Saccharomyces cerevisiae S288C: one gene and its partners. The main gene of each other region encodes a partner of the protein of the gene in region 2 in a complex. Each region holds a gene or a part of one and is shown on either strand. Other genes may lie near its edges. The genes, in order: RPA135, RPC19, RET1 and RPC37.

Region 1 (7,277 bases), on a different chromosome or scaffold from region 2:
TCTAGGTTTAAACTACGGGGCTCCATACCTTATCTCTTCACTTATCAAAAGTAGGCAAAAGAAAAGAAAATAAATATAATTTCTTTTTCTGCAGGCAAGATTTTAAAAGAACTTGCGCGTCCTCTGTGCAATCTACCTGGGGAGTCTCGGGCTTTAACCGCTCCCCATTCTAAACTGCTTCCATTGACGTGTACTATACTGCTCACTTCTTGCTCTTCGAGCAACAAAATCTGTATTACGTTTCTTACACTAGTCGAGTGAAAGAGATAAGATACCCACTTTTACTTGCCGGGAGAATGGAAAAGAGAAAACGGAAGAAAGGGCTTAAATACATTTTCCTTTAATATGAACATCCTACTGTAAGATAAAAATTGGATGCTGATAATGGAAAGGAGACATGTACGGTATGTACGGCAAAACCTCGGCGGGTTTTCGCCGCTAGCTCATATATTCTTTCGTTAAATTTTAAAATTTCTTATTCTAAATCTTCTTTACATGTTTGGAAAGAATTTATTGGAGAGAAAAATCTAGACCTGCCAAGCCGATAAACGAATGCCTGCGAAGAAATAGTGTAAATATTACTCCTGAAGGTAGAGTCATCTAGGCGGAGACGAAAACAAAGTTTAGCTTTTCGTGAAATTGCCCATTTCATGTTTATCAACCACCAAAGGTTAAATGGAGGTTTGACAAAAGAAATTTTCTTGCTAAAGGTTAGCATTTTTTTTGGAATTTTTTTTCCTTCGACTGGCTGTAGTTGTCCTTCTATATTACGTACAACAAAAACTTTCTTGAATGAAGAATTAGTTCTATCATATAGACCATAAGAAAGAAAACGCACTTGGATAATTTTTAACAAAGAAGAGGGCAAACTGACGCTCACCAAGCTATTGGTTTGTTTGGATCAATCGTCAGATATGAAGCCGAACAATCGAACTTGTGATGTAATTACCAACAAAGATGAATCTCTTCCTGCACTTTTGCTGCCTGCACTGAACAGTTACACCTGTGACGATTCATTGCTAAAAGGACAAATTTCAAGCAATGGCAGATATCAACCATTCGGGTTTTCTGATTGCTCTTTACTGCCAAAGCGTTTAAACATTCAGGCAGGGCAAGGATCTATGCCAGTTTCTTCGATTCAATGTGCAGACCACAGTTATAGTAATTGGCAAAAAGAATCCGAAAAGACTAAGCTTCCCAAGCTTGGTTGCCCAACAGAGTACACTGAATACTATAAAACTGTTTCTTCCGGCGAAACAACCGATTCAGCGGTTGTTTCATCTATAGCAACGAACAGACTCAAAAGAAAACGTCAGAGGGACGGCCCAAGTTGTGACTCTTGTAGGATAAAGAAAATAAAATGCAATGCAACAATCATTATCTTTTTACAGGATAGGAACCTAATTTCATCAATTTCTTCAAATTTGCATTATACACTTTCCCAAGACGACATAAACCAGTTTCGAATGAAGTTTTTCAGGAAACTGCCTGACGTGATGGGCACATATGAAGTCATAAAACACCTTGATAAAATAGTCCTTTTCAAAGCCTGCACCTCTTGCAGTAGAAGAAACCAAAAAAATGGAAAGTGTCTTTTTTCGAGAGGATTTACAAAATCTGATATGAACGTATTTCCCAAGATAAATAGTAAACTTAAAGACAAAAGTATCTTCGAGATGACTGTCGATGATTATGTTGCCGCTGGCTTCCAAACCCTTTAGGTTTCATGCATGTAATTTCCTCCTATGTAAAATATAGGAATATTAATAAAACGCACCAATAATAAGTTAGATATTTTTCTGCAAGATATAAATTTGTTTACTCATACATATATATTCTATTGCGGGGCGCTCTTGTATAAGTAATTCAATAAAAAACCTCTATATGATACAATTGACCAAGCCTTCATTTACCATTCTATATCAATTTGGAAAGAAGGGTATTTCTCTATTTGGGCTCTACATTATAACGCAATCTTATACCCATTGCGGATAGCTCAGAGTCCAAGTACTTCAACACAAATGGTATGGCCACCGTAGTTGTTTCATTACCACCAACAAATTTGTTACCTTGTCCATCTTCCCAAATTTGAGAGTCGTCAATAAAAATTTTCTCTCCATCTTCTGATTTAGTCAATAGCTTCTTTGCATCTTCGAATCTCATGGAACAACGACGGCAACAAACGGTGGAAATCGAACCAATTCTTGGCACACTCTGTTGCGTGGTCAAAATAGAACCACACTCGCGACATACGGATGCCTGTGTGTAGTCTGATGAATTTAGCAGACGATCTTGTAATAGAAAAGATGTACCATGCCCAATCAAAGCATCTCTTTCCATTTCACCGACACGAATACCACCATGTCTCTTTCTACCTTTGACAGGCTGCATAGTCAAACTATTCACAGGACCAGTGGAACGAACTTGGAACTTGTCATTGACCATATGACGTAATCTTTGGTAGTAGACAACACCAACATAAATATCTGCCCTTAATTCTTCACCAGTAGCACCTGAGTACATTGGCTCATTACCATGGTAGTTGTAACCCGCCTTCGCTAGTTGCTCACCAAAGTAATCGGCTGGGGTATCGTCCTCGTTAAAGATCCAAGGTGTAGAGTCCTGTGCAATACCATGCAATGCCCCCGCTTTACCTGCTAAAGATTCGACGAACATACCAATGGTCATACGCGAAGGGAAAGCATGAGGGTTAATGATGATGTCTGGTTGGATACCTGTTTCGCTAAAAGGCATATCAATGGTTGGCCATTTTCTTGAACAAACACCTTTTTGACCGTGTCTAGAAGAAAATTTATCACCAATTTGAGGCGTTCTTCTAATACGATATTTTATGCTAACAGTTTGTAGTTCTTGGAACTTATTGGATTCATCACCGATTAAATTTACCTCTTCGATATATGCTGGTTCAGAGGAGTGATATGTCTTGATTTTGGTCTTATTTAAAGTATCGTCAAAGTATGCGCAGATTGGATCACCCTCTTCAACATAAGTGCCAATGTATGGCAAACCATCCTCGTCTAATTTCTCAAGCCACTCCTTTGGCCATTCGTCATTCCCGAAACCAAAATGCTGTGTAATTGGGTCACCACGGTTTCTGTTAAGTGCTAAATCCACTTTCTCAGTCTTATACATAGTACCATAACCGAAACCTCTTTCATCTGCTGATTTGTTTATAATCATTGCATCATCCATATCATAACCAGTATACGAGATGACCGCAACAACAGCATTAAACCCGTTTGGAAAGTTATCCATGCCATAATCATCATATAAATTAGCTTTTACGATAGGCGTTTGACCTGTTTGCAACCTATACAGCTTATTGTCGGAACGATGGCACAAAGCTACACCCGGAGTACCCATTGTTTGTTTACCCATCTGACATTGATACATGTTTCTTGGAGACTGGTTGAAATCAGAAAATGGAGTCAAATTAGCCAAAATAGAAAGAATATTTGTGGGCGTAAATTCTACGTGTGTATGAACGTTATTTTGAATTTCTTGAGGAGTGACAGCAATGTTCATGTACACTTGCTCAAAAGGTCCAACAATGTCTTCTTTATCCAAAGGCAGGTAACGAACAGGACGCAGCATCCTAGAATGACCACCAAATAGGTAGAGACCTGGATATTGACCACGAGTTGAGGGAGGAACATATCCAATTTCTAGATCAATCGGTAACCCAGGCGTCTTGCCTTCAACTTTCCAATATCTCAATGTATCCGCAATGATCTTACCTTGTTCATGAGAGACCCAGCCAATAATTTTACCATCAATTTGAACACAACACAGAGAAGGACCAGCAGCAAAGGTGTGAGATGCCGGAGCAACACCAAGTGAGTATAATATAGAAGGAATTCTTGAGACGTCAGATTGCTGAGTTGATATACGACACTTGTGCGCAAAATGGTTTAATAAACCACAAGGAGAACCATCTGGTGTATGAACAGGGCACAGGAATCCCCACGACTCAGGTAGCAACTTTCTGACTGTGGTAGTTTTCAATTGCGCAAAAAAGGAGCCTCTATGAACCATTCTAAAATGAGAGATAAAACGGTAGAAGTTAATTTTTTCTGCAACCACAGTATAACCAGAAACTTGTTGTAAATCTAACCCAGACTGGGACACCAGGTTACCAGTTGATAAAAAGTATTGCATTTTGGAACCAATGTTTTCATTAACCCTCATTAAAACTCTTGACATGTACCTTTTGTCTTTGAAATTAATGGCCATACCACGGTTAATATCCATCCTGACTTGAGCAATAATATTCTGTAAGTACTCATCAATCTTTTCTTTTAGGATCATACCATATAAGAAACCACCCAAAAGAACTTCTTGATGTTGCGTAGCATCTGGGTTATCTGGAGAACATTCGCCTGCAACCAAGGAATACAACTTTCTGATCATGAACAATAACATTCTGAATTTATCCTGGCTGCCATCCTTACCCAAATGCACGAGAACGATGCGATCAAGGACTTCTTGTCCGACTTCTAAATCAGATTGATCAGGGGAAGCTTGAAAGACAACACGAAATTTGTCTCCTAAATATTGCAAGACTTGTGTGCGATTTTGTAAATGAGGATATCTTTTCTTAAAACCACGTAACAGTAATTCTAAACGATCGGTCAAAAAGGAATCCTTAACGTCATTACCAATAATACCATCAAAAATTTCCCTATCGCTGGTATGACACAAGGCTTTTAAAATCATAACAACAGGAACTAAATATTCATTTTTTCTCCAAGAAAATCTAAATGTAACTTGACCGTCATTTAAGTAATGCAAAACATTAGTTTGGGAAGTTTGATCCGGCCTGACAGATCTAATTTGAATACCGTAATGAGAATAGGATGCACCCCTGTTAGCGAAGGAAGGTCTGATGATAGCCATAGGATGATTTCTACGTTGCACAATCAGCATTCTAATAAGCTTTTCTATACCGTTAACAATGAAATAACCACCTATTTCATCGGATTCTTCCTTGTGTTGTACCAGTTCATATGGTGACATCTTGTTCAAGTGACATCTGTTACTCTGTAGCATAACTGGTAGACCACCACAATCTCTTACTTCAAATAAGTTCTCCTCGCCATTGTTCACGGACCACTTCAACTTTAAAAGTAATTTACCTCTGTAAGAAGTAAGCCTTTGTCTTGACTCACTTGGGTAAACTTTTCTCTCTACTGCAGAAGAAACACCATCGTTAGACATTGGCTTCGCAATAGACACTTGTTCCACACTAACAGAAAGCTTATTCCCGAGGTATCCGCTGTTGGATATTTCGTCTTCAGAATTGAGTGGTTTTCCATCAAATATAACTTTTTCACCGATGTCTTTAACACCAAGATTTAACAAACCTCCATCCGGACCTTCTGTTAATGCGTTAAAAGACCCAATATGAGGTTGAACAGCTTCCTGTAATAGTGGAAATGCTGATTTATCCTTAGGTGGATTGATGAACCTAGATTCACGTTCTAAGGTACGGAAATCAGCAGTTCTGGCTTGGCCAGGCGGCTTAATCACTTTGCTCATCTCACCAAATGCGTAATTCTACGTTTATTTGTCAATATTCTTGAGGAAGACTTGCTTGAATATTACGAGACAGCTGAAGTAAGTTTGAATAATTAAGAGATGAGATGAGTCTCTAAGATGCGCTTGAAAAATTTTTCATACGAAAAAAAAAAAAAAAAAAAAAAAAAAACACTCGCAAGAGTAATCTCAATAATAATTTCCGTCATTAGCGATTATAGCATGAAGGGAGGCCGAGAGGCCGCTTCTGCGGTATGATAATTAAGTGGTAGTGCAGAGACTCAAAAGGGCGCTGAGAATCTATTAGAAATGCCATTAAGTGCTTTGAACTCTTGTAGCATGTCTGCTTCTGTAGATATAACACTCTGATGCAGATTTATGAATAATTTCATCACTCGATGTCATCAGCGTCTTCCTTCATTTGATGCTTTTTTGAAGTTTTCATGGCATGATTTAGCATTTGAAATATAATGAGAAAAGAGCCCTTTAACTTACAGAAGTAAATGTACAAAACTTAATCGGAGGAAGAAGCTTAAACATACAAAAACAACAGCAGGATGACTACAAAGAAGCCGTTAAACAAATCTTTTTGTCTCCGTTACTAATTCACTAATATAGTAATTTTGCTAACCTCTATCGTCATTGAAACTGATTTGTCCTCGAGAAGGCAACAATCAAACTGCAAAAGAAACGTAAAGCAACGACTTGAACAAGTAATCGCTAACCACATATTGAGATAAGCAGATAATCGCTGTTAAACGTCGTTGATACAGTCAGTCAATATGAATAGTGTAGTATTTTATCGTTAGGTTCACCTTCCAAATATTCGTTAGATAAAGATGTTTCGGTTTTTTATTTCAACAAAAGAGCCTTGTTGGCGCAATCGGTAGCGCGTATGACTCTTAATCATAAGGTTAGGGGTTCGAGCCCCCTACAGGGCTTTCTTTTTTATTGCATGGTCTATCATCAGGTTCCCTTAACCGCTGCCAAGAAAGAGCACGTGTAAAAATGGAATGATTATACATCAATTAAACATATAGTCATGGTGGTGTTGACATGTATATAATATACATTAGTTTTGTCATATTTGAAGAATAAATAATATTTCGATTTGTTCCCGACAATTATTGAAAATGTTTTAAGTGTAGATATTAATATAACAAATCATCAACATGGTTTTTAATCCTTATCTTTGGCAAGGACTTCATCTAAACTAGATAATTCTGGGTTACCTGTCAATCTCAAAGTCTCGTCAGTTCTTAATTTCTTATATGTGAAGTATGTCCCAGAGCATAAAGCTACACCAACAGCGAGAAATAACGGTGTTAATTCGACGGGTATTTTGTAGCCACCAGATGTTTTTTTCTAGTTTTTTGTTAGTATAATACTCTATAATCTTGTAGTTAGCATTCATAATCAACATAATTGTTTTCTTAGAAAGCATCAAGTCAGAATGAACGCATGATTATCCGTTTGTCACAATAAAAAGAAAATATCCCTTAACATACAGCTGTATTCAACAGTAACTGTGCTGGTCTCATTTTTCTATATTTTTCTTTTTTTAAAGTATTGTCAGAAGTCGTTCAGGAAACTACCAAAATTAAATAAGTCTCAAAACAAAGTTAGCTTATACTGGTATGGGAAGAGTTATAGTTGCTTTTGAGGAGATGGCGATGCCTTTAAAGTCTGTTCTCATGCTCATCATAAAGTACGGGAAATCC
Region 2 (4,285 bases):
AGCAATACCAACCATGTCCCTACCAGATAAAGCCATTGGCCAACCCTGACATTGAATGCCAGTTGGTTTGTCAAATCCTTCAGCCTTCACTTCATTCAAAACGTAGTCTGGGAAACCAGCTTCATCGAAAGTGGTGATTGGCTTTGGAATATCGTGTCCGGAAATAGTCATTTCATTTTCCTTTCTGAACTGAGCAATCTCACTGTCCGATCTGTCGCGAACACTTTCGTGTTCAACATAGAAATTCTTTTCGAAAGTTGGCAATTTGGGTAATTCTTCATCCCAGTTTGGTTTGATCAATTCCTGGGGTTGGTTGTAATTGGAACGACCACCGAAACCACCACGGTAGTTACCGCCTTGTGGTCTGTCATTGTAAGAGTTTCTATCAGAGTTTCTTCCACCGCGGAAGTCGCCACCTCTAGACTTGTAGTTAGTCTTGTTATATTGCTGATCTCTACCACCGTAAGTCATATTTGCTCTAAATTTGCCTTAATAGTGCTTAATTCTGTTACAGGTTGTTGACAAGAAAATAATTTGAATGAGATACAGAAAAGTATAAGTTATTTGAGCGTAGGACAGTCTTTTTATAAGACAAATAAACTGAAGGAAAAATTTTCTGCGATGAGCATCGGCGTAAAAAAAAAAAAAAAAAAAAAAAAAAGAAATAAAAAAAGAAATAAATTTTTCAATCATTCAATACGGAATACGCCTTTAAAAAGGAATTTCGAATTCTCAACATTATTAGCACCTTGTACGAAGGTGTATTTTTATCTGGTTATATTATACATAGATTTTAAATAGCACGACTATAAACGGGATACACAAATCAAGCTGTATCTATACTAGCGTGGTGTGCATAATTATTAGAAATTTCAGAGTGACAGAGGGTCTTTGAGTCGATCCGTAACATCTACATGCTCTTGATTTTTTCAGTAAACTTAGATTCTACAACGTCACATAAATCCATCAAGTCCTTTAGCCCTTTTTGAAGAGCATCCACCGCGGTCGTTTCACCGTAGGTTTGAATTCTGATATTTAATAGGTTTTCAGAAGGATGAGGTATCGAGTAACCACAAAATTCTACGTCTGGATTTTTCATTATAACGTAACGAAGGGCATTTCCAAGCGTGTGATCCTCCTCTACAATTTGAAAAGAGGCACTAGTTCCATCTTCAGATGTTGCCTGTGTGAGAAGCTTAATTTTTTCCCTGTCTGGTTCCTCTTCCTGTTCTTCATCGCCAGTCATATCAACATCCTGTTCTTCTTCTTCTTGGATGTGCTTTGGTTCTTGTGGTGTTACCTCTGTAGCGGTCTTTTTTTGTTCGATGTCTTCAGTCATTTGCCTGGTACTTTATGTGAAGTTCAATTTTTCCGACTTTGGATTGATGGCCTTTCCCCAATTCGTTACTTTATACCTCAGCATTAGTATGGTTTTCTTTTGAAATTTTTTTTTTTTCCAGCTCATCGCAGGTGAATATTTCTATCACTTGTTACGTTTACCATTACCCGGATTGAAGTAAATATGATTCACCCCAATAAAGCTGTACAGAAGAGATAAGATGTAGCTTTATTAGAACAAAGTTTATCACGTTGTTGGTACTTAGAATAATCTATGATATTGTTGCGTCTTTTTGAATAAGCTTTCTTGCGTGCCGTTTTTTTCGGTTTTTTTTTATATTTCTGCCCAAAAAACGTAGTTCAAAGAAAAGGAACTATCCCAAAATAGAAGCAAGTTATGTTTAAGGAATTAAAAAATGTACCTATAAAGCACGTTTTTCTGATATGTATATGCCTATGTAATGTAGAAGTTGTCGAATCAGCAATCGTATTGGTCAACCTTGATGGCATGTTCTCAGCACGTTTTGAAGTGGCTATGCATATATAGTGTTCTTTAATCTATTCCTTGCAAGGCTATTCGGACCCCTAATTTTAACCATCGTGCAGTTTAAAGGGATGAGAGAAAAACTAAAAGTTAGATGCCTTGCTATATTCTATAAGGAGGAAAGGAAAGGAAAGCCATTGAAGAAAGAACTGTAGGCATCAGAGCGAACAGATCATGAAGGCTAATGGTTTAGATAATGATCCGGCAAGGACGGGAATGGAAAGAACAGATATAGATAGTGAACACCCAGAAGCGCAACCGTTGCTGAACAACAACCACCGGACCCTTGGTGCAGGATCCGCGAATGGCCCAGCAGTTAATGAAGGTCGTGACATTGAATCCGATGGGTTCATCAAAGATAGTCTCTTTCAAATTCGCAAAGGTTATAGAATCTTTATTCATAACTCCAAATGGATATTAAATATCCTAATTCTAATTAACACCATCTGGCTAGTCACCACTTTGATTTCAGATTTCTTTTTCAATATCAATATTCTTTTCGGATTCAGTAACAGGTACGCAAGTTTTAACGACTTGACTTTAATATTCATCTCGATCATAGCTAATTCTTTCAATCTCTGGTTTAATAAGCTGGGACTGTACTCAGCTTTAGATTACAGCTTAAATGTAACTCTCTGTGTTTTGACGTTGTTCAATCTAGCATTGACCTATCTAATTAAATACACTAGGCAAAGAATCGGCTTTGTGGGCACGTTTACATATTTGTGGACTTCGTTTTCATTTTTTATTGGGGCAATATTAGATTGGTATCTCTTGTTTTACAACAACTCAATAAATGAGCCATTGGAGGAACGCAGAATTGATGATGCTAATATTAGTACTTTCAACGAAAACCATACAAATAGTACCGAAAACAGGGACAGAAGCCAATATGGCTCTGGGTCGCCAACCCCCACCCACCGCTCGCAGCTGGTCCAAAACAAACATACATTGACAGAATGGGTATCCATTGGGTTCAGGAATACTATTAAGTTTTTAATTTTAATATTCTTCGCTTTATTCACCCTGAATACACTTTTAACGACATTGGATACCTACAGATTGACTCACAAATTACCAATAACCGTTCAGTCGCCCTCGTACGAGGCGTTCCATTACGTAGATGCCGCTAAAACCTATCAGTTGCATATAACTTGTTATGGTGACGTATTTGATCAAGAAAACAACACAGATTTGTCTGAAAATAAGAAGCAACCTATCATCTTGTTTGAACACGGAGGTTATGATACTGGTTACCTTTCTGCCACCTGGATTGAGGAACTATATCATTTAGACAAAATTCAAAGATATTGTCTATACGATAGACCAGGGTACGGGTTGAGCGATTCTCCTCCCGCCCCAATCTCTATTGCGATGGTTGCGGAATCTTTAAGGTACGCATTGATCAAAGATGCAAAAATTAAAGGTCCCTTCACTACAGTAGGATACGACCTTGGCGGGCTATTTACAAGAGTATTTACCGCCAAGAATGTCGATATTGTGGATAGCATGATGCTTGTTGAATCATGGCATGAAGAACTATTGTTAAAAAACTACATTCAAAGATTACTACCTCCAGGCCGTGGTGATGGCGACGATGGCGACGATGGCAATGGTAATGATGGGGATGGCCGCAACCATGATAAGACTTGGTTACCTTCGGAGATAGAAAGGCATAACGAATTTAGATTATGGTGGAAAGGCATTTGGTCGAGTTTAGGATGGAGATTACAGACTTCATGGTTACTAGCTCATCATGGGTCTAAAGAACGTATATATGGGCGTGATATGAAATATCAAGGACGTTTCTTGCGTTCCAAGTTTTTGGAAAGCGTGACGAGTTCAATTCTAAGTTACAGAGATGTGACAAACAATGCAGAATCTTTGCAAAATGTGAAGACAAGCATCGTTAGCTCTAAGGAAATGGTGAAGAAGTCGGCATTATGGGGCGATTGGCAAAGAGATTTGACCAAAATTTCTCACAAGACTCAAGAATGGAAAATAGTTGAAGGTGGGCATGAAATATATAAGTATGGTCTGGGCAAACAACAAACTCAAGAAGTCCTATTAAGATTAATAGGTGAGCTTGGCAAACTAACCGAGGATTAACCGAGTTCTTTACTTTTTTTTTAGTTTTATATGTGAAAGCAAAATTGACTGCCAACGATGGAGGTATTGTATTCCTGAAAACAATAAGTCAAATATGTAAACGGCGCAAATATATAAATACTAAGAGAATAATTAAAATAATATTAAGGTACGAGATGTGGAGTTCGGTGGTTTTTCTTTATTTTTCAAACTGTGTATTTTCTTTGACCTTAAGGATGGCTATCAACATCCTTTGAAGTTTCCATTAAGACGCTAAGTTGATCCACCAGTTGATCACCTTCACTTTCCACATCA
Region 3 (7,151 bases), on a different chromosome or scaffold from region 2:
ATTGAAATCCTTTGCTTTCTTAATTCATTCACTATGATAAAGATAAGGTCCTGAGTCATATTCCAAACATCAATCTTGTTTGAGTGATTTGTTGTAGGTGAAAGAATACTTAGTAGGAAATCCAAGGTAACGAAAACACCTGTTCTTCCACACCCTGCAGAACAATGGACTAATAGTGGCGATGAATTTGCTGTATCGAGATGTAACTCACTATTATTATCATCTATCAAATCAGGCTTGCAAACATCCTTTTCGAGGCTTGTAATAAAACTTTGCGGGTTAAACAATAACGAATTTTTGACTTTGTGTAGTTTAATGATGTCATTCATATCTACGCCGCATGAATCTAACCAATTCTTGTATTGTAATTGGTAAACAATAAACGGCTCGGATACAGCCATGGTAATGGAAGTAAGGTCACCATTATGCGGAAGGTCACAATCTTGACTGATATTATCATTTTGTGGAGCTGTTTTCTTGACTTGAAAGACTCTGAGAACACAGCCATTAATATTGCAAATATTCTCCCAGGTGTTCTGAAGTTTGATAGTGTGGTTGGAATATGACAGATTATTCCAGTAAATATCCCATTTTCTTAAATTCAATTCATCGTCAGAATTCAATGATATTATTACTTTAACTTTATTTAAAGTAATAACCTTCCAAAAATCATCCATCGTAGAAGGAAGCGGAGCTTGGGTAGCAATATACTTGAAATCAGGATTAATTTGCGTGAGCTTCAAATAGTTCGCATTGATATAGTCGTTCGGTTTGCAGGAGTGGTTTTTTGCATCTACGGGACACATCGGATATGACTTATCTGTTTTAGTTTCGGTTGTGGATGCTTCAGAAACTGCAGGTGGTTTCGGGGAGTGAGGTAACTTTACTCTTGAATGTTCGTAAGGTAAGATATTAGAATATCTATTCTTAGTAAAAGACTGAATTCCTTCAGTAAGTTCGTAATCATTTATTGGTGACATTATAGTATCATCGGAAGATAATGGTGATGGCGAAGAAGATGTGTTGTTTTTTGGTATAATTAATTTTAGCTTTTGATTTTTCTGTATGTTGCTTTTCAAAGAACTTTTATACTGTCGTTGCAAACTAGTTAAAGAATATAATTTTGAATCATCCGTGGATTGCGGACCCCTCTGCTTTTGTGATAGCTGCTTTTGATGTAAAGGCTTTTTCTTGAATTTCAGGCATTTCTCTAATCTTTGCATTTCAAAATTTTCTAAAGTTTCAAAATTGTTAAAGAGTTTCTTTAATATTACCTTTTCATTTTCTTTTACGGAGCAGAATTTTAGCCAATTCGGTAAAATCGTGTCGTTAGGTGCTAAGTCAGCAGGCATATTGAATTGGAAAAACTTTTGCAAAGAATTAGGAGAATAATGAATTAGATCCTTTTTCAGAGACTGTAAAAATATTTTATTTGAATCATTGGGTGGAGGTATGTTTATTCTTAAATTTAAAGTTGACCTTGAAGTTAAGTTTACATTCAAGTTCAAATCCAATTTGGGCAAGATGCAATTTTTCTTATTTTTTCCTAATGAGGGGGCCTTGCTATCATTCAGAGAGCCTTCGAGAAGAAAGAATTTCAAATAAGGAGATGGAAAAAAATGGCAGATGAACTTTTTAAACTTCTCAATGAGGCAAAAAGTTGTCTTTAAACAACTCGAAATTCTGCTAAACGAATCACTGAAAATGAAAATATCATAATCTTTGATGATCTTTGTGAACTCAATATACTTTTCATCAGATCCAAGGTAATTCTTTAGTAAGTTCTCGAACGGGTAGTTCGACCTTTTCACCAAAGTGCTGGGTAGCGGCAACGATAAAACTGTGATATCCTTAGCATTGGTATTGCCTAAAAATGAGTTGGTATTGGGGCCAGCGCACAGATCTAGTAAAAGTATTTTAGAATGCCTATTAGAGTTGTTCCGCCGTATGTTAACGTCGTCCAAATCTTTGCACGGTTTAATTTGATTTTGGGGAAGGTTAGACAGATTTATAGTTTCACCTCTATAGACGGGCATTTGACCAGGTGTTCTAGTTTGATTGACTTGTATGTGGCCCTTTTCCGATATAGCGGAAGAAGCCATTCTATTGCCGTTATTGTCTCTTTTGCCATTACGATATTGCTGTGCTATGCGATCCATCAATAGCAACGTCGATCCTATTTTATTGTAAACTATTAATAGCACTGGGGATCGGACCTAGGCTTCCAAACTAAGCGAAAAGGGCTGTGCAAAGCGGAAGAGGGGAACCAGGGGAATCGGGTCTGTCAGGTTGAGTGATCTCGTCTTTCTTGTCAAAGGTCGCAGCGCGGTGTTCAAAGAAAGATGATGATTCAAAGTTGGCACTTCCCAAAGGTTTTAATAGGTGCATTATTTTTATATATTCCTTATTGTTAGGTGTACTACACATAAAGATATAAATAGTTCCATAAAGCAGGCGCGTATTTTCCAGATCACGTCGGACGAAATTGTAATTGTGAGATGAGCTGAAAATTTTTCGATCTATGCTTAAGTGATGATATATGGACAAGTTAGGAAAGAATTAAAGGGAGTTTAAAGTGTTGATAATTGAGCGTTTTAATCGCTAGGGACTTAGTGCTTGTTGAAAAATGGTTGCTGCGACAAAAAGACGGAAAACTCATATACATAAGCATGTGAAAGACGAGGCTTTTGATGATTTATTGAAACCAGTATATAAAGGTAAGAAACTAACTGATGAAATCAATACTGCTCAGGATAAGTGGCACCTTTTACCAGCATTCTTGAAGGTTAAAGGTTTGGTGAAGCAACATCTTGACTCATTTAACTACTTCGTTGATACAGATTTAAAAAAAATTATAAAGGCAAATCAATTAATTTTGAGTGATGTTGATCCAGAATTCTACCTGAAGTACGTCGATATTAGAGTGGGTAAGAAGTCCTCTTCTTCGACAAAAGATTATTTGACTCCGCCTCATGAGTGTAGGCTTAGAGATATGACATACTCTGCACCAATCTACGTGGATATAGAATACACTAGAGGTAGAAACATTATTATGCATAAAGACGTGGAAATTGGTAGGATGCCGATCATGCTGAGATCTAATAAATGTATCCTATATGATGCTGATGAATCGAAAATGGCTAAATTAAACGAGTGTCCGTTGGATCCTGGTGGTTACTTTATTGTTAACGGTACCGAAAAAGTAATTCTTGTTCAAGAACAATTATCCAAGAATCGTATTATTGTGGAGGCAGATGAGAAGAAAGGCATTGTTCAGGCCTCCGTTACTTCATCTACCCATGAAAGAAAATCTAAGACTTATGTCATTACCAAAAATGGCAAGATCTATTTGAAGCACAATTCCATCGCTGAAGAAATTCCTATTGCTATTGTTCTCAAAGCCTGTGGTATTTTATCAGATTTAGAAATTATGCAATTGGTTTGCGGTAATGATAGTAGCTACCAAGATATTTTTGCAGTCAATTTGGAAGAATCTTCGAAATTAGATATTTACACACAACAGCAAGCTTTAGAGTATATTGGTGCAAAAGTAAAGACAATGAGAAGGCAAAAACTGACTATCCTGCAAGAGGGTATAGAGGCCATTGCTACCACGGTTATTGCACATTTGACTGTGGAAGCCCTTGACTTTAGAGAAAAGGCTTTATATATTGCCATGATGACGCGCAGGGTGGTGATGGCAATGTATAACCCTAAGATGATTGATGATAGAGATTATGTTGGTAATAAACGTCTTGAATTAGCAGGCCAATTGATTTCTTTATTGTTCGAAGATTTGTTCAAAAAGTTTAATAATGATTTTAAACTAAGCATTGATAAGGTCTTGAAAAAACCAAATAGGGCTATGGAATACGATGCATTATTGTCAATTAACGTCCATTCAAATAACATCACCAGCGGACTGAACAGAGCTATCTCAACCGGTAATTGGTCTCTTAAAAGATTTAAGATGGAAAGAGCGGGTGTTACACATGTTCTTTCCAGACTATCTTATATTTCCGCATTGGGTATGATGACAAGAATTTCTTCTCAGTTTGAAAAATCAAGAAAAGTTTCCGGTCCAAGAGCATTACAACCTTCTCAATTTGGTATGCTTTGTACTGCAGATACTCCAGAAGGTGAGGCGTGTGGTCTAGTGAAAAATTTAGCATTAATGACTCATATTACTACAGATGACGAAGAGGAACCTATAAAGAAATTATGTTATGTTCTTGGTGTAGAAGACATAACATTGATTGACAGTGCATCCTTGCATTTAAACTATGGTGTTTATTTGAATGGTACTTTAATTGGTTCAATCAGATTCCCAACAAAATTCGTTACTCAGTTCAGACATCTGAGAAGAACAGGTAAAGTGTCGGAGTTTATCTCAATTTATTCAAATTCTCACCAAATGGCAGTTCATATTGCAACAGATGGTGGTAGAATTTGTAGGCCATTAATCATTGTTTCTGATGGTCAATCTCGCGTGAAAGATATTCATTTACGCAAATTATTAGATGGTGAGTTAGATTTCGATGATTTTTTGAAACTCGGATTGGTGGAATATTTAGATGTCAATGAAGAAAACGATTCTTACATTGCATTGTATGAAAAAGATATAGTTCCCTCGATGACACATTTAGAAATCGAGCCATTCACAATTTTAGGTGCTGTTGCTGGTTTAATTCCATATCCACATCATAACCAATCCCCTCGTAACACATATCAATGTGCGATGGGTAAGCAAGCGATTGGTGCAATCGCCTACAATCAATTCAAGAGAATAGATACATTATTATACTTGATGACTTATCCACAACAGCCAATGGTGAAAACCAAAACAATTGAATTGATCGATTATGATAAATTACCTGCTGGTCAAAATGCTACGGTTGCTGTCATGTCCTATTCTGGTTATGATATTGAAGATGCTTTGGTTTTGAATAAGTCATCCATCGATAGAGGTTTCGGCCGTTGCGAAACACGTAGAAAGACAACCACTGTTTTGAAAAGATATGCGAACCATACCCAAGATATCATCGGTGGTATGAGAGTTGATGAAAATGGAGATCCTATCTGGCAACATCAATCTCTTGGTCCTGATGGTCTAGGTGAGGTGGGTATGAAGGTCCAAAGTGGACAAATTTATATAAATAAGTCAGTTCCAACTAACTCAGCAGACGCCCCAAACCCAAACAACGTAAACGTCCAAACTCAATATAGGGAAGCTCCGGTAATATATAGAGGTCCAGAACCTTCTCACATTGACCAAGTTATGATGTCTGTTTCGGATAACGATCAAGCTTTAATCAAAGTTTTGCTAAGACAAAACAGAAGGCCAGAATTAGGTGACAAATTTTCTTCTAGACATGGTCAAAAAGGTGTTTGTGGTATTATTGTAAAGCAAGAAGACATGCCCTTCAACGATCAAGGTATAGTTCCAGACATTATCATGAACCCTCACGGTTTTCCATCTCGTATGACTGTGGGTAAAATGATCGAACTGATATCGGGTAAAGCTGGTGTATTGAATGGTACATTGGAATATGGTACTTGTTTTGGTGGTTCTAAACTTGAAGATATGTCTAAGATTTTGGTAGACCAAGGTTTCAACTATTCCGGTAAGGATATGTTATATTCAGGTATAACAGGTGAGTGTTTACAGGCTTACATCTTTTTTGGCCCCATTTACTATCAAAAGTTAAAGCATATGGTCTTAGATAAGATGCATGCAAGAGCTCGTGGTCCAAGGGCTGTTTTGACACGTCAACCAACTGAGGGTAGATCTAGAGATGGTGGTCTGAGGTTGGGTGAGATGGAGAGGGATTGTGTAATCGCGTATGGTGCTTCACAATTGCTGTTAGAAAGGTTGATGATTAGTTCAGATGCTTTTGAAGTTGATGTCTGCGATAAATGTGGATTAATGGGCTATAGTGGTTGGTGTACTACCTGCAAAAGTGCTGAGAATATTATTAAGATGACTATTCCATATGCAGCAAAACTGTTATTCCAGGAATTATTATCCATGAACATAGCCCCAAGATTAAGATTGGAAGATATCTTCCAGCAGTAAGAAATCATATATCTTGTACTAAATTTTGCGTTATGTTAGCAATCATATCTATTTCGTGAGGAACTTTAAGAGAGTTGAACGATTTCGAAAATTATATAACAGTAAACCGTACTTCTTTCATTTTTGTACCTTGCTTTACATCATTACTTTTTATAAGATCCATCGAACGTTTGACGTGTTTTCTATCCATAAACCGGCCAAAATATAAAAATATCCAGCTGACAAGAGAAAGCTTGGAGTGCTCACATGTTAGCACATGTGAGCACAATGATATATACGCTTTAAAAAAGACTTTTCTTTATTTTACACATTTATAGACTTAACTATTGAATTCAAGACAAAAAATCAAATCTTGCTGAGTTGTTAAGCGTCTGACATTTCAACATCTTCGTTGTCATCATCACTTTCCAGACTGTTTAATAATTTTGCTTCTTCTGTTTCTCTTTCTTTGTCTTGTTCTTCCATACTTTCTCTCATTAATCTGGCCTTTTCTTCCTTAACTTCACGTTGTACTGCAACATAAGAACCTAAAGGTGTTTTATTCCAAGCTACATCATTCAAAAATCTTGAAACTTCAGATTTGTTTGTTGGCCCAAATTCAACATCTGATCTCTTTTCTTGGATGAATGTGCTGTTTTGGTTCAATTTTTCTACAACAGTTGATAAACGTTTGTTAAGTTTGACATTAGTTGAAGTCTTGATGTAACGGCGTAAAGAGATAATAACCGGTGTTACAAGTTCAGGAAATGCAATGTTTTTACAGTACAGAGCAAAATAATCGCCCAATAAGTCCACAAACTGTTCTGACAAACCCTCTTGGTATATTTTTGTATTCAGATAAGCTTGCGTACATTTGATGTTGTGCTCAAAATCGAAAGCAGCCAAGTTAGGGCTCTTTTTGGGTGCCTTAGTGAAAGCCGTTGAGGTTAAAATTTCAGAAAGTAAAGGATATATTGGAATAAAAACACCACTATTTTGAGAAAGTCTAATAAGTGATTTAATCAAATAAAATCTTAATGGGAAGAATTGTGGTGTTGGGATTAATCTGATTACACCCAAAGTAACCTGAACCAAT
Region 4 (4,793 bases), on a different chromosome or scaffold from region 2:
GAGCATGACCATAAAGCTGAGGAAAACCCGGAGTTGTTAGCAGCACAAGAACGATTAGATAGACTTTTATATTTCCAAGACACTTCGGCAGAAAGAACAAAAATTATTGATAATGCCAGCGATTTTGACATGAATCAGGAGGTGGGTTTATGGGGCAGCGCAAGAGAAAGAGCTCTTGCGTTGAAGAAGCAACAACGTAATTTGAGAAAGTGGGAAAAAGTAGAAAAGGAACGGAATGGCAGGCGCGAGAAGTACGTTGTTAGCATGAATATAGGTTCAAACGGTAAAGTTACTATGACAGAAGTCCCTAAGGATACAGAGAACGTAATTGCAGGTTCAGATGATGACATCAGTGATATAAGTGACGAAGAAGATATCAGCGACCTTAAACATATACACGCTCTGAAAAGTGAAATAAATACAACGAAATCCTTGGAGAATTTGCATTTACAGTCCAAAGCATGGGATTACGAACGTGATAAAAAACAATTCGATAGGCCTACGTATGTGAAAAAAAATTCAGATACTGCACAACAGAATAGAAAAACGGAAGAAAAGGCTCACGACATGCAAGCTTATGATTTAAAGTCAAGAGTACAAGTGGACCAAAATGCAGACGCATCAGTAGAACAGAATATTCTTGCTGTACTTTGATGAATGGTAAAAGTTTATATTATATATGATAGAGGATATAACCGTTATTCATTTTCTGTAGATTTTATCATTTTCTTTGTCTTCATAGTATACAATTTTTTTTTATATGAATTAATGCTTGTTCTTGTCTATTTAGTAGTTAAACTCACTTGCTATTTGCTTCTCTGCCATACGAGCCATACGAAACATTTTATTTTTAGAGTTTTCCTTAGTTGGCTTCTTTTCACTATTACCATCCTTACTACTTTGCAATCCCATAGCCTTTGGCCTTTCACGTAACCCAAAACTTTTAGCTAAATGGCCTAGATGTAAGAACTTCACGTTGAAAAACTTCTTTTCTTGAGAGATATGCGTTGCGTAAGCCCTCACATGACTAATGAAACCTTTAACGGCCAAATTTTTGAATGCGGAATCTCCCACTACTCGTCTTTCTATATTCAAATGCCATGTCGTAGCATTGGTATCCCACTCATATTCTTTATCGCCCACGTCTTTATTTTTGGACGATTTCTCATCTTTTCTAATGAATTTATCATTTCTGTTGACATTCACATCTTTGAAAGCCGGCATTAGTATTTCTTTATCGAATTTCAGTAATTCCCAACCCATCGGATGATACGGCTGGATATAGTCCATATATTTTTCTTCTTCGCCAGGAAGTAAAAATAACAAACTTTCACCCTTCTCACCGGCCCTTGCTGTACGACCAACTCTATGTAAATGGTCTTCAACAGCAAATGGTGGATCCAACTCAATAACAGATCCAACGTGGGGAAGGTCTAGGCCTCTACTTGCGACATCTGTACAGAACATAATAAGATGTTTTCCCTTGGTGGCTTCATTATCACGAGCAAAATGCTGCAATGTAGAGGTTCTCATTTGTTGGGATAAAGAACCGTGCAATTTATAAATCACTACATCTGGGTCCCTAGAATCTGAAAAACAAGGAAACATAGTGTTTCCTTTTGTCAATAGTCTTACAGAATCACCCGTTAGATTTTTATGGTGCCCGTCACTTCCTGAAAATGCGTCATAATGAAACTCCACGCTGTCTGAACATGATACGAATACGATTGTACGCAGCGTTTTGGACTGTTGACCGGAAGCGATGAAATCTTTGGTAATGTTGTTCAAAGTAGCAGCTAATGTTACAAGACGCAACTTTGGTGGGACAATAGTAATCCTCTGCAATAGTTGATCGGGCGCAACCGTTACTATATCAGAATCTTTCTTGGTACCGTTGCTAATCAATTTGTAATCTTTCAACGCCACGTTTCTTAACCTATTAACACCATCAGTAAGTGTAGCACTACATAACATGTGCACTAACTTATGCGGTAGCTTGGGAAATTTTTCGGAGTTGATGGGAATATCGTGAACAATTTTAATAATTTCACTGATCGTCTCATCAAAACCCAATTCCATTAACTTATCTCCTTCATCCAATACGATATACCTTAGAGATTGACTCAATTGCTCCTTGATAACTTTTGTATTTTGTAAATGATCCAAAACACGACCTGGTGTACCGATTATGAAATTGCAACCCTTACGCAATCTAGCTTTTTCTGATTTCTTACGTTCTCCACCAATCAATAAACATGGGACCAAGTAGTGACAACATGACACAAGCGTGGAACAAACATGATATATTTGTGATGCTAGTTCTCGTGTAGGAGCAATAACCAATGCAAATGCACCAGAAGTACGATCAACATGAGTATCCATGTTCAAAATAGTAGATATTATAGGTAAAAGATACGATAAAGTCTTACCTGAGCCTGTTTGGGCGTGAATGAAAAAATCGTTCTTCCCCGCGTTACCTATTATTTGAGGTATGGCCTGCTTCTGGATGCTCGTAGGCTTTTTAATACGCATTTTTTGCTCCAGATGAGAAACAAGAAGACTAGAGACACCTAAAGACGCAAACTGATCACCTTTCAAGGGCGCGTTAGACGGATTGATGGCAACGTTTTCATCATGAATATTAGTGTTTACCGCAGTTGTAATCTCTCTGTTAGATGTAAACAGGGATGAAACAAACTGAGAATCGGCTGGTAGAGTTCTCCCTTGAGTGTTATGAGCATTTCTACCCTTATATTTTTCCTGCTCTTCAGAACTATAGGAACTCTCCTTATGCAATTTTTTAATAGAATTCTCGCCTCTACCCGGAATTATCCCTTCGTCCCCTGTAGTGTTCGCCTTTCTTTTCCTCGAGACTGTCTTGCCCTCAAGCTTCATTTTCATTCTTCTTCTATCCTTCCATCTACCGCCTGTCACCTTGGCAGCTTGCTTATAGGAACTTCCTGCAGTGTCCTCATTGGTAGTGAAGTTTAACAGCATAGAATCTTCATCGCTCATCTTGGTGTTAAATTGCTGAATAAGTATGCTTATTTGGAATATGAATAATCCCAAAGGAAAAAGAATATAAACAATCGTACTTTCTTAAATTAGAAATATCACATACAAGTACTCAATCTTTTATTTTCCTAAGCTCATCGCAAATTTTTCAAGTAAAATGGAAACCTAATATGTCAGGGTTTTTAATCCATATTGTTAGGGCAACATTCAATTTTAAACTGAAATTTTATAAAAACTCTGTTCATTTTTCAGGCCTTAGGGTTAGTATTCTGACAAAATTATTCAAGAAAAAAAGAAATGTTACAATGAATGCAAAAGATGGATAAAAGCGAGAGATGAGCTTAAATGATCTGGCTCAAGCAGTGCAAGGTGAAAGTGGAATAGGCTAGTGTTATAGATGAGTATTGACAACAAGTTGTTTGTTACTGAAGAGGATGAGGAAGACAGGACGCAGGACCGTGCTGATGTTGAGGATGAATCTAACGACATTGATATGATAGCGGATGAGAACGGAACAAACAGCGCTATAGCTAATGAGCAAGAGGAAAAATCCGAAGAAGTAAAAGCTGAAGATGATACTGGTGAAGAAGAAGAGGATGACCCAGTGATCGAAGAGTTTCCATTGAAGATCTCCGGAGAAGAGGAGTCACTGCACGTGTTTCAGTATGCTAATAGACCAAGGCTAGTAGGACGCAAACCTGCTGAGCATCCGTTTATCTCTGCAGCAAGATATAAACCCAAGTCGCACCTATGGGAAATAGATATTCCTTTGGATGAGCAGGCCTTCTATAACAAGGATAAGGCTGAGAGCGAATGGAATGGGGTTAATGTCCAAACATTAAAAGGCGTGGGTGTGGAAAACAATGGCCAATATGCAGCATTTGTCAAAGATATGCAGGTTTATTTGGTACCTATTGAGAGGGTAGCACAATTGAAGCCATTTTTCAAATATATCGACGACGCAAATGTAACAAGAAAGCAAGAGGACGCCAGAAGGAACCCTAATCCTTCATCACAACGCGCTCAAGTGGTTACCATGTCTGTAAAGAGCGTCAACGACCCTTCGCAAAACAGACTCACTGGCTCCCTGCTGGCACATAAAGTCGCCGATGAAGAGGCTAATATTGAATTGACCTGGGCAGAAGGCACGTTTGAACAGTTCAAAGATACTATCGTGAAAGAAGCTGAAGATAAAACTTTAGTAGCCTTAGAGAAACAAGAAGACTATATAGATAATCTAGTTTGAAGTACATAATGCATCATGAAGAAAGAACAGCATCAGACATCAGTTTCACATAAAGGATGCTCTTGCGCTTTTTCTCCTTTTCTATTAAGTCATTGCGTGCATATATTATGTGATTTTTTTTAATCATACCACATCTTGATTAACTCTTCTGAAACGGCACTTGGAGTGAGGACCCCTAAATCTGTAATCAATGCAGTAATGTATTCTTGGGCGGTATAGTCGATCGTGGGCCCACGCAATGCATCTTCTAGATCGTCCGTACGACGTGTGAAATCCAAAGGAGGGCCGGCCATAGGTAGATCATCTGAAGACAATGGAAACATACGAACAAATTTGTGACTTTCAGTGACCACATAGAATGGTTTTCTTGCATTATGTGCTAAAACACCCACTGAATAGGTACCCACGAGATTTATAATACCACCTGATTCAGCAACACCCTCAGCACCAACGAACACTTTGTCAACCTTATCGATTACCGCTCCAACCGCGCTATCGACAATAAGAGTCACGGGTATGCCCTTTTGTTCAA

The links.
Region 1: RPC19 (region 2) and RPA135 share a complex: the UniProt entries of both Saccharomyces cerevisiae proteins name them as parts of the RNA polymerase I (Pol I) complex.
Region 3: RPC19 (region 2) and RET1 share a complex: the UniProt entries of both Saccharomyces cerevisiae proteins name them as parts of the RNA polymerase III (Pol III) complex.
Region 4: RPC19 (region 2) and RPC37 share a complex: the UniProt entries of both Saccharomyces cerevisiae proteins name them as parts of the RNA polymerase III (Pol III) complex.

Annotation. Positions count from the first base shown.
Region 1 is NC_001148.4:575,638-582,914, forward strand, and holds RPA135 (DNA-directed RNA polymerase I core subunit RPA135), read right to left. Parts: upstream 5,560-7,277; coding exon 1,948-5,559; downstream 1-1,947. Other genes in the region: SUT2 (Sut2p), read left to right, coding at 915-1,721; MRA1 (Mra1p), read right to left, coding at 6,736-6,921, 7,065-7,097. UniProt on the Saccharomyces cerevisiae protein: DNA-dependent RNA polymerases catalyze the transcription of DNA into RNA using the four ribonucleoside triphosphates as substrates. Component of RNA polymerase I (Pol I) which synthesizes ribosomal RNA precursors.
Region 2 is NC_001146.8:409,825-414,109, reverse strand, and holds RPC19 (DNA-directed RNA polymerase core subunit RPC19), read right to left. Parts: upstream 1,340-4,285; coding exon 911-1,339; downstream 1-910. Other genes in the region: DEAD-box ATP-dependent RNA helicase DBP2, read right to left, coding at 1-471; YNL115C (uncharacterized protein), read left to right, coding at 2,057-3,991; ubiquitin-conjugating protein DMA2, read right to left, coding at 4,201-4,285. UniProt on the Saccharomyces cerevisiae protein: DNA-dependent RNA polymerases catalyze the transcription of DNA into RNA using the four ribonucleoside triphosphates as substrates.
Region 3 is NC_001147.6:728,933-736,083, reverse strand, and holds RET1 (DNA-directed RNA polymerase III core subunit RET1), read left to right. Parts: upstream 1-2,626; coding exon 2,627-6,076; downstream 6,077-7,151. Other genes in the region: tyrosine protein phosphatase PTP2, read right to left, coding at 1-2,159; mRNA-binding ribosome synthesis protein NOC2, read right to left, coding at 6,440-7,151. UniProt on the Saccharomyces cerevisiae protein: DNA-dependent RNA polymerase catalyzes the transcription of DNA into RNA using the four ribonucleoside triphosphates as substrates. Second largest core component of RNA polymerase III which synthesizes small RNAs, such as 5S rRNA and tRNAs.
Region 4 is NC_001143.9:484,358-489,150, forward strand, and holds RPC37 (DNA-directed RNA polymerase III subunit C37), read left to right. Parts: upstream 1-3,412; coding exon 3,413-4,261; downstream 4,262-4,793. Other genes in the region: RQT4 (Rqt4p), read left to right, coding at 1-654; DBP7 (putative ATP-dependent RNA helicase), read right to left, coding at 787-3,015; GCN3 (translation initiation factor eIF2B subunit alpha), read right to left, coding at 4,381-4,793. UniProt on the Saccharomyces cerevisiae protein: DNA-dependent RNA polymerase catalyzes the transcription of DNA into RNA using the four ribonucleoside triphosphates as substrates. Specific peripheric component of RNA polymerase III which synthesizes small RNAs, such as 5S rRNA and tRNAs.